Linked DNA regions of Ovis aries. The protein of the gene in region 2 purifies or fractionates together with the protein of the main gene of each other region. This does not show direct contact. Links are inferred from orthologs where the notes say so. Each region holds a gene or a part of one and is shown on either strand. Other genes may lie near its edges.

What was found.
Region 1: the proteins of ETV6 (region 2) and LRP6 purify together in Homo sapiens (affinity purification with mass spectrometry; 3 studies listed by BioGRID and IntAct, counting the BioPlex papers as one, with this or other methods). This does not show direct contact. The link is inferred for Ovis aries from reciprocal best matches to the Homo sapiens genes ETV6 and LRP6.

What each region holds. Positions count from the first base shown.
Region 1 is NC_056056.1:203,192,325-203,196,312, reverse strand, and holds the start of LRP6 (low-density lipoprotein receptor-related protein 6), read right to left. Parts: upstream 2,805-3,988; 5' UTR 2,599-2,804; coding exon of another isoform or gene 2,488-2,598; coding exon 2,433-2,487; intron 1-2,432. UniProt on the Homo sapiens protein: Component of the Wnt-Fzd-LRP5-LRP6 complex that triggers beta-catenin signaling through inducing aggregation of receptor-ligand complexes into ribosome-sized signalosomes.
Region 2 is NC_056056.1:203,890,606-203,894,738, forward strand, and holds the start of ETV6 (transcription factor ETV6), read right to left. Parts: upstream 2,804-4,133; 5' UTR 2,491-2,803; coding exon 2,458-2,490; intron 1-2,457. UniProt on the Homo sapiens protein: Transcriptional repressor; binds to the DNA sequence 5'-CCGGAAGT-3'. Plays a role in hematopoiesis and malignant transformation.

The sequences.
Region 1 (3,988 bases), about 700 kb from region 2:
GATGAGGACACAGTCCAGATAATGATAGCATTATTTCCCGGCTTTCAGCTATTGATTTAACTGGGCCAGAGGACCAAAGGTCTCCCAAACTCTCCCATCATCCCATCTTCCCAATGTTAAACCTCCAACTCTTCTGTGAAGAAAAGTGATCTTAATACAACAAGTGATCTTAATACAACAAAGTAATCACTTCTCCCTGGAGTCCAAGATTAACTAATAACACAATTTTAAGAGGATGACATTATCAAGGAATGAGAAGAACCTAAATTATGAATAAAAATCTTTCACAGTAAAAATAGTTTTAGTTCAAATATATACCCATGGTTAAGTATGTTAAATTCAAAGGCCACCTTAAACCATGATTAGACTATATTTAAAATAAGAGCTTCACTTTTGGAAATTCTGTTGGTGGAAATGAAGCAATTTGCACTATTAACTTTTCTAGGTCTTCTTACATAATATCATACGTCACAATATTATTTCAAATGTAACTTCTCTTAACTCCAATAATGAATAAACTCAATTCTGGGCTCAATTCTGGTGTTAAACAAGTGGCATTTACAACATAACCTCCTCTTCCAAGAAATACAACTGGGCAACCAGAAGCATCTGGGTAATGGAATGCAATTTCACCAAGGCTTTAACCCAACAGGGGACTCTATTTGTTAATTCTATTAACCTTCTGTCTTAAAATATACCCATATTCTATGTCAAATAAAATTGTTTCTCACAACTATAGCAAAATCCCCTTCAATAGGAACTATATCATACTAAAATGAATATATAATTACTAGACCTCTCAAGTACATACCACTACATCCAATTCTCTGCCAAGAAAATAAAATAAGCACTAGCTTTCTAAAGTTTACACGTGGAAATAGTTTAGAATACGCTTACAATGAGTTGTAATTAAGTATAAGTATATAAAACAGGCAGACCTAATAATCCTGCTGTTGCGGCTGCTGTTCAGTCACTTCAGCTGTGTCTCAGTTAAATCAACAGCTCTTTTGTGACCCCCAAGGACTGTAGCTTGCCAGACTCCTTGGTCCATGGGATTTCCCAGGCAAGAACATTGGAGTGGGTTGCCATTTCCTTCTCCAGGGGATCTCCCTGAATAATCCTGAAGTGTAACTAAAGAAAAAAATTCCTCCTCCAAAACAATGTCAATCACGCTTATCCAATAAACATATACTCAGAAATGGCATATCCAGCTCATTTATAACACAAGACTGTTACTATTGTGTTCTGGAAACTAAAGTAAGTGTGCACATTGAACATAAATTTAGCCTATTAAATTAACAGCTAAAAATCTCCTTAGACCCAAGAGGTCCCATACCTGAAAAGAACTGACCGTGAACACAAGCGAGAATTGTTAACTGAAACCAAAGCTTCAAGTCATTCCATCAATTGGTACTTAAATTCCTCTGCTGGTAAATGCCCCATAGCATCAGAGTCATCACCACTTCACCACTGATGTGAGAAGAGCTGTTGAAATCTTGCAGGCCAGTCAAAAACCTCAGTGAACTGTCACAAAAAAGTCGCAGCATGTGTGACAGTTTCGCAGGCCAATCTAAAAAACAAAACCTGGGACCATTGAATTTACGCGATTCTCAGGGCAAATTACCTAGAATAGCCTATGTTATTTACCAACGTGCCACGCAGTCTCCAGGGGAGCGCAGCAGATGATAACTTAGGTCCCAGGACAGGCTCCTCTCCACCAAGGATGACTTTCCTACTTGGTGCCAACTGTACACTTGCATGCTCCGAAAATAGGGGCAAGTCCTGAATGCCAGAGGTTGCAAGGGCAACGTTTCTATTTTATTACGGGCTGGAGCCCAGGCGATTCCCCAAGGCTGAAAACACTCGACCTATAACCTCGGAGTCCCTTTCCAACTATGCTCTCACCCACGATCATTACATCCTCCACGGAAACCAGTTATTAGTTGCTACAAGGCCTGGAAAAAATAGTAAGAGGGCTCTAAAAGTTCACGGGACCCACAGGGAAAAGGTGGGGGCTTGGAGGGAGAAATCCAAGCGCTGAAGCATCTTGGGCTCCAACGTTCCGAGAGCCAAGATCCATACAAAGCCCCTCGTCCCCGGTGACTGCAGGCAGGAGACCCACCGATCTCCAGTCACTCGGACAGGATGGGGCTCCGGGGGGAGGTCACCCCGCCAGGCAGCCCGGACGAACGCTCTGTCCGGACGCGGTGGGGCAAGCGAGGCGGGGGCTGCAGCGTGGCCGGGCGGAGCGCGCAGCCCCTTCTCCCGGGCCCCTTGCTCCCTCCTTCCCCACGACCAGGCCTCTCCCAACTCCTTCCCCAGCTTCGCCTCCCCCACCCTCCCCTCCCCTCCGTAGACACAACAGAACGAGACCCCCTCCTTCCCTCCCGCAAACCCCACCAACTTTCCCGTCCCCCCGCTTTCTCTCCCACCTCTCAGGAGCACGCAGAAACTGCAGGCCAGGAGGCTCCTCAGGACGGCCCCCATCTTCCCTGCTCGCGTTCGCTTCTCTCACCGGCGAGGGGCGGCCCGAAGAGGGGGAGGCGAGGAGCCGGGGCGGCCGCCGCAGCGGCAGGTCTGCACGCTCATGCTTCCCAGCTTTCCAGAGAGAAGAAAGAAAAGGGGGCCCGTCAAGGCTCCGCGCGCGCTGCCGCCGCCGCCGCCCTCTCTACCGCGCCGCTCCGCCCGGAGCTCGCGCGACGCCAGCGTCTGCTTCCATCCCGCCGCCTCCTCCCCCGGCGCCCCGCTTCCCCCGCGCAGCTCCTCATTCAGCCTCTTCCTCTCACGCAGCGGCGCAGGGATACGCCTCCCACCGTCACGGATCGCCGCCGAGGTCTCCCTGCGCGCGGGCGAGCCCTCCCCTCCCTCGGTGCCGCCTCCCGGGCAGGTTAGAAAAGGAGAGGAAACCGTGCGCACAGCCTCGGCGAGGAGACCCCGGGAGATCTGCGGGACCAGTAGAAGCGGGCCAGAGGGGACAGGCCGCCCAGTGGCGCATTCCGAAGGGATTCTTTCCCGGGCCGGACCCTTCGGCCCTCCCCGCGGAGGGCGTGAAGCGACGTCGAACAACATCGGGAGCCGGCGTGGTCGGGACTACTTTCTGCGGCTCGGCCCGGCAGCCGCCTGCGCCGCTCTTTGTGCGGCCGCCGCCGACCGAGCCAGGTGAGGCTCCAGGTCCACGCCGGCCGCCACCTGGGCCGGGGCCAAGGTGGGCGGCAGGAGACGGCTGGCTGGGCCTGCAGAGCCGCAGGTCCACGCTCGGAGATTCACCTAGATCCCGATACGAGGCATGACTTTAGTCCCAGGGTTGGAAATCTGTTTAAGCATCTTTTTTTTTTTTTTTTAAGGAAAATGAAAACTAATATTGCTTCCATCGGCTTTCAACATGGATCTGGTGAAGGGTATTCAAACGCCAACAGAAAACTGAATTTTTTTTTTAATTTTCTCCTGGTTTCCCAGAACTACAGACTGCCCCCCCCCCCCCCCCCCCCAAGGACTAAAGGATTTCTAACCCGGCAGATAAAATTCCAAGATAAATGCGTCAGCACCTAACAAAGCAAAGGGACGGTGGGCAGAACGGTGCTAGGATTTTGCAAACTGCGTTTAGTGATGAATGTCTGGCATGTTGTGACGATCCGCTCTCAGATTGAGGAGGAAAAGATTCCTCGGAATCTCAGACTCGATTTTGCACAGCCTCTGGCCGGCTGCTCGCCGCAGCAGCCGCCTTTCACTGGGCGTTCAGGAGTAACGGCCCAGAAGCCCTTGGAATCACGTGGCAGCTTGGGGGTGGGGGGTGCGGGTGAAGCTGGGATGGCACCACTGAGAGTTAACCTAAAGGAGCCATCAGCAGCAATCCATCCACCTGTCACTCAACCTTACTGTGGGCAGGTGGCGCGGAGCTGGAGCTACTCCAGCAGTGGTACTCAATATCGTAGTAACACTGAGGTTCACCAAGTGCTGCTCACAGTCAGATTTGACACTCATAACTACC
Region 2 (4,133 bases):
AGAGCCATGAGCTCATCCTTTAAAGCTCCTGACACTCATTCTCTACTCCACAGAAAACTTTATTGTTTACTGGACTCTAGGAAAAAAAAAAAATCGCTGTACTAGTGGGTTCCCGGCAAACATTTTTTATCCTGCAGTCATTGCACCACATCCCAGGGACTCAGGGAAACACCGCACACAATCACCAGAACATTTTCAGACGAGCTAGAATAATCCCAGTCCTTGATCTCCAGAGTTTCTTACTGGAACATTGCAAACTAAACAAACGCCATGAGAAAATGCACTTCCCGTGCGTTTAAACATATGCACAGTCCAAGTAAGCAGTTGCAGACCGGTTCCATAAAGGACAATCCAAATTAAAAGTGATACTTTCACTACTAGGGAAGACCACTGGATCTGTTCTAATTACGGAGAAATACAGAAGTCAACAAAAGAGGCTTTCCAAAAGAATGGAGAGGGTAAACGATAAGATAGAAAATGATAACACAAACCGTGGCTGCAATTTTTAGGTCACAGTTAAGGGACTGTGCCGTCTGGGTTTGGGATTGGTTCCCTCTGTGCATGTAAGAAAGGAGTTGCTGTAGTCGTCCACTGAGGTACCATGAGATGAACCCCTCATTGGTATTTCTGCCTGCAGCCCCGAGCCTCTCAGAACAGCGGGCTTACGCAGTCTTTTTAGAAGAGCTAGCAAGCCACAAAACAGCTTGCTTTTCGTTGTCTCCACTCCAAAATCACTCTCCCATAGTTGTTCAAGGTCTCCTGAGGTCAGATTTATTGTCGTTGAGCTAAATACAATTTACAGATTTAATATCCTATTATTTAGTTACCTTTGTGTTATGAAGTATCAGATAGATTAGGCATACCCAAGGATTATCCTGAACTCATAGAATCGAATTTATTCAGCAAAAGAAATTGGTTTTAAAGTATCAACCTACCTAAATTCTTTACTCTGACATCCTCTCCACCGGAGACATAGTGCTATCCCCAGATATCTACACAGAAACCTGAAAGTTCCACTAAGCGCTTTTTGTGCGAGGCAAAAACAATCCCAACCCACCTTTTCAGTTCACATTAACCCTAATTCAAACCCCCTGAGAAATTGCGCCTGATAAGAAATACTAACACCTAAGTATAATTATGAAACCCTAATGAGTAAATATGAGAAAATGCTGAGTTTTCCTCTAAACAGATCCTATGTAAATGCCATTTAAAACAGAAGAGACGTTTCCCAAAATGCCCCATGGATGAAGGAAACTGGTTATTTGTTCATTGTCTCTGCAGGGTCCCCTCAATGAACATATTAAATGGGCCAAGCCACAAACAAAACTTCAGCAGCTTCAGCTTCTCACTGAAGAAGGCTTTTCCATCTGAGCACTGATGGAACAGTGAAATGAAAGTGCACACGGAACGCAGGGAAGGGAAAATTAATTGGGGGAGATGGACAGATCAGTGTGCCTCCTCACGGTGGCAAACTTTACAACAACTTTTTAGAAGCAACAAACCGCAGCACCACTAGCCTTTACAGACATACAGACATGTACATAAATGCTCACACACACCACTACTTGGAAGATAAGTACTGTGTTTGCAAACATCCTCCACCATCCTGCATTTACCAGACTGCAAACCTTGGCCAGAGACTGGGAGATTTCTACTCTTAGCTACCCTCTCTGCACTGTCAAAGTGGGAAGGTCATTCTGCCTGGTCACTTCAATCATTCTCCCTGCATGACAAGAGTTTTCTACTTTTGGATTGCTCAACGTTCAGATGCCTACGAGAGTAAAATAACCATTCAGCAACTTTATTCACCTTGGTTTAAAAAAAAAAAAAAAAGAAAGAAAGAAAAGAAAGAAATTCATTGTGCAATGCCCAGGAAAAGCTGACAGCACTACTGTCTCTCCGACAAGCGCCTGCAATTACAATGGGGCGGCAGGGGGGTGGGGGGGGGGAGAGACTGTCTGACCAGACTCGCGGAACCCTTAAAAAAAAGATTCCAACCCCAATGGAGCCGGAGAGCTTTTTTTTTTTTTTTTTCTAAGGAGACCACCCCTCGGGAACAAAAGTTACATTTCGATCACATGTTGGGAGTAGGAGTAGGGAGCAGGCTTTTTTTTTTTTTTTAAGCGCACTAATTACCGGGGTGTTTTGCAGACCTGAGGACCACTCGGGTTCCTCCTGACCGACTGTGACCGGCATTTCCTTGTCAAAAAGCAAAGGAGGTGGGGTGGGGGCGCAGGAGCCGACACGGGGCTCGGCGGGAGCGGGGAAGCAGCAAGGTTACACTAGAGGGTACGCCGCCGCCGAGAGCTGCATCTCCTTCCCCGGCGCCCCAAATAATTTCCTGCGAACAGAGCGACTGCAACAGCCCCCTCGGATCGGAGGAGCCCGGCACGATCAGCCGGGCCGGTGCAGCTCAAGGCTTTCCACCCCGGAGAGGGAGGGGGAGAAGATCTTTACCTTAATGCTACACTGAGCAGGAGTCTCAGACATGTCTCACAGCGAGAGAGATCAGGAAGTTCTCAGTTTTTTTTCCACTTTCCTTTCCTCTCCCCAACCCAGAAACGCTCCACGGCCAGCCGGACGCGGTCATTTAAGAAGTTTCTTGCAGCATCTCTCCCGGCGGCCGCCCCGGGGGGCCGCGAGCGCGCGGGGCGGGGCGGGGCGGGCCGGGCGCCGGCCGAGTCGCCGCGCGCGGGGTGGCGGGGGCGTGGGAGCGGGCGGCGCGGCGGCGGGGTCTGCAGGTCGCGGCGCGGCGACCCGGGGCGCTAGCCCGGCCGGCCTGCCCCGCTCTCTCCTCCCACCCGGGCCGGCGCCCCCGCCCCCCGCCCTCCCGCCGCTCTCCCTCGCCCTCCCTCTCTCTCTCTCGAATGTTTTCCTTCCTGGAAGAGAGAAACTGAAAGGCAGAACTGAGAAAGCTCTTTGCTCATTGATCTTGAGAGTTTCAGTGCAGAAACTGACGTGAATTCCCAGCACTGAGCTCTGCCTCTTAAAGGAGCCACCAGGAAATAAAAGCTCGGGTTACAGCCCGGCATCGGGAAATAAAAGCCGCGCGGGGGAGGGGGGGGGGGAGAGGCGGCGCGGCGGCCGGGGGGCGGGGGACCGTGCGCTAGGCCCCCGGGGCCCGGGCGCGGGGCTGCTAAGCTCCGCCGGGCCGCTGCCGGGCTCGCGCCTCGGGGCCCCAGAACCCTCCGGACAGGATCAACGAGGCGTTGATCCGATCCCCTCCCCTAGTTCCGTCTCTTAGATACACTGAAAGGCACAGGGCTTTTTTTTTTTTTTTTTTTAATTTTTCCTCCGTCCCCCCTCCCGCCACCCCGAGCCGAGCGCGGACGCAATGAAAATAATTATATAGGAAGGGACATTCCGGTAAGGACGCGGAACCCGAAGGAGGAAATAAAACAATAGCCTTTGTTCTGCTTCTCGACCGCGGCCTCTTTAAGAGAATCCACCAGGAAATGGGAGATCGGGTTACAGCCCGCACCGGGGAAAAGGGGCGAGCGGGCGAGCGGCGGAGCGCGACGCCGCCGGAGACAAAGCGGGGCTGCTGCCCGCAGATGCCCGCCCGGCCGCGGGGGGGAATTCCCCGCCGAGGTGGGCGCCCCGAAAACGCTAGGTGCGCGCGCGCGCACCCGCCGGGCCGGGGATGCGGGCGCTGCCGGGCCGAGCACGCGTCCTGGAGAAGGGAAGGCGGCTGGGCAGTTATCAAAGGCGGTTGAGTTCCTTTTCCTGACCACCGCCACCCCCAGCCACCCTTCCTCCCTGTTTCGAAATCTGCTGTCCTTTTAAAGCAATAGCGGCCGCTACCAACCGACAAAGGGGACTCGAGTACAAAGTTGACAGGACGGGTTCCTGGAGATAATAGCCCTCCCCGGACCGCTTCTCAGAAGCCGTCACTGACAGATGGGACGACCCCCGGGATCCTGCCGGGAGGGTGGGAAGAATATTTGGCTGGGAAAACAATTGAGGTTAAAGCCGGTGGGGCTGAAGGTTCTATCCTTGAGTACGTGTTGTCTGATCACTCTATTATTTTTATTGTTGTTTATAGTCTCTGAAAATGCTCCGAAGCGTCCACCGCTGGACACATTATTAATTATATATAAATTCTAAAGCCTGCTAGTACTTTCGGCTTTAAC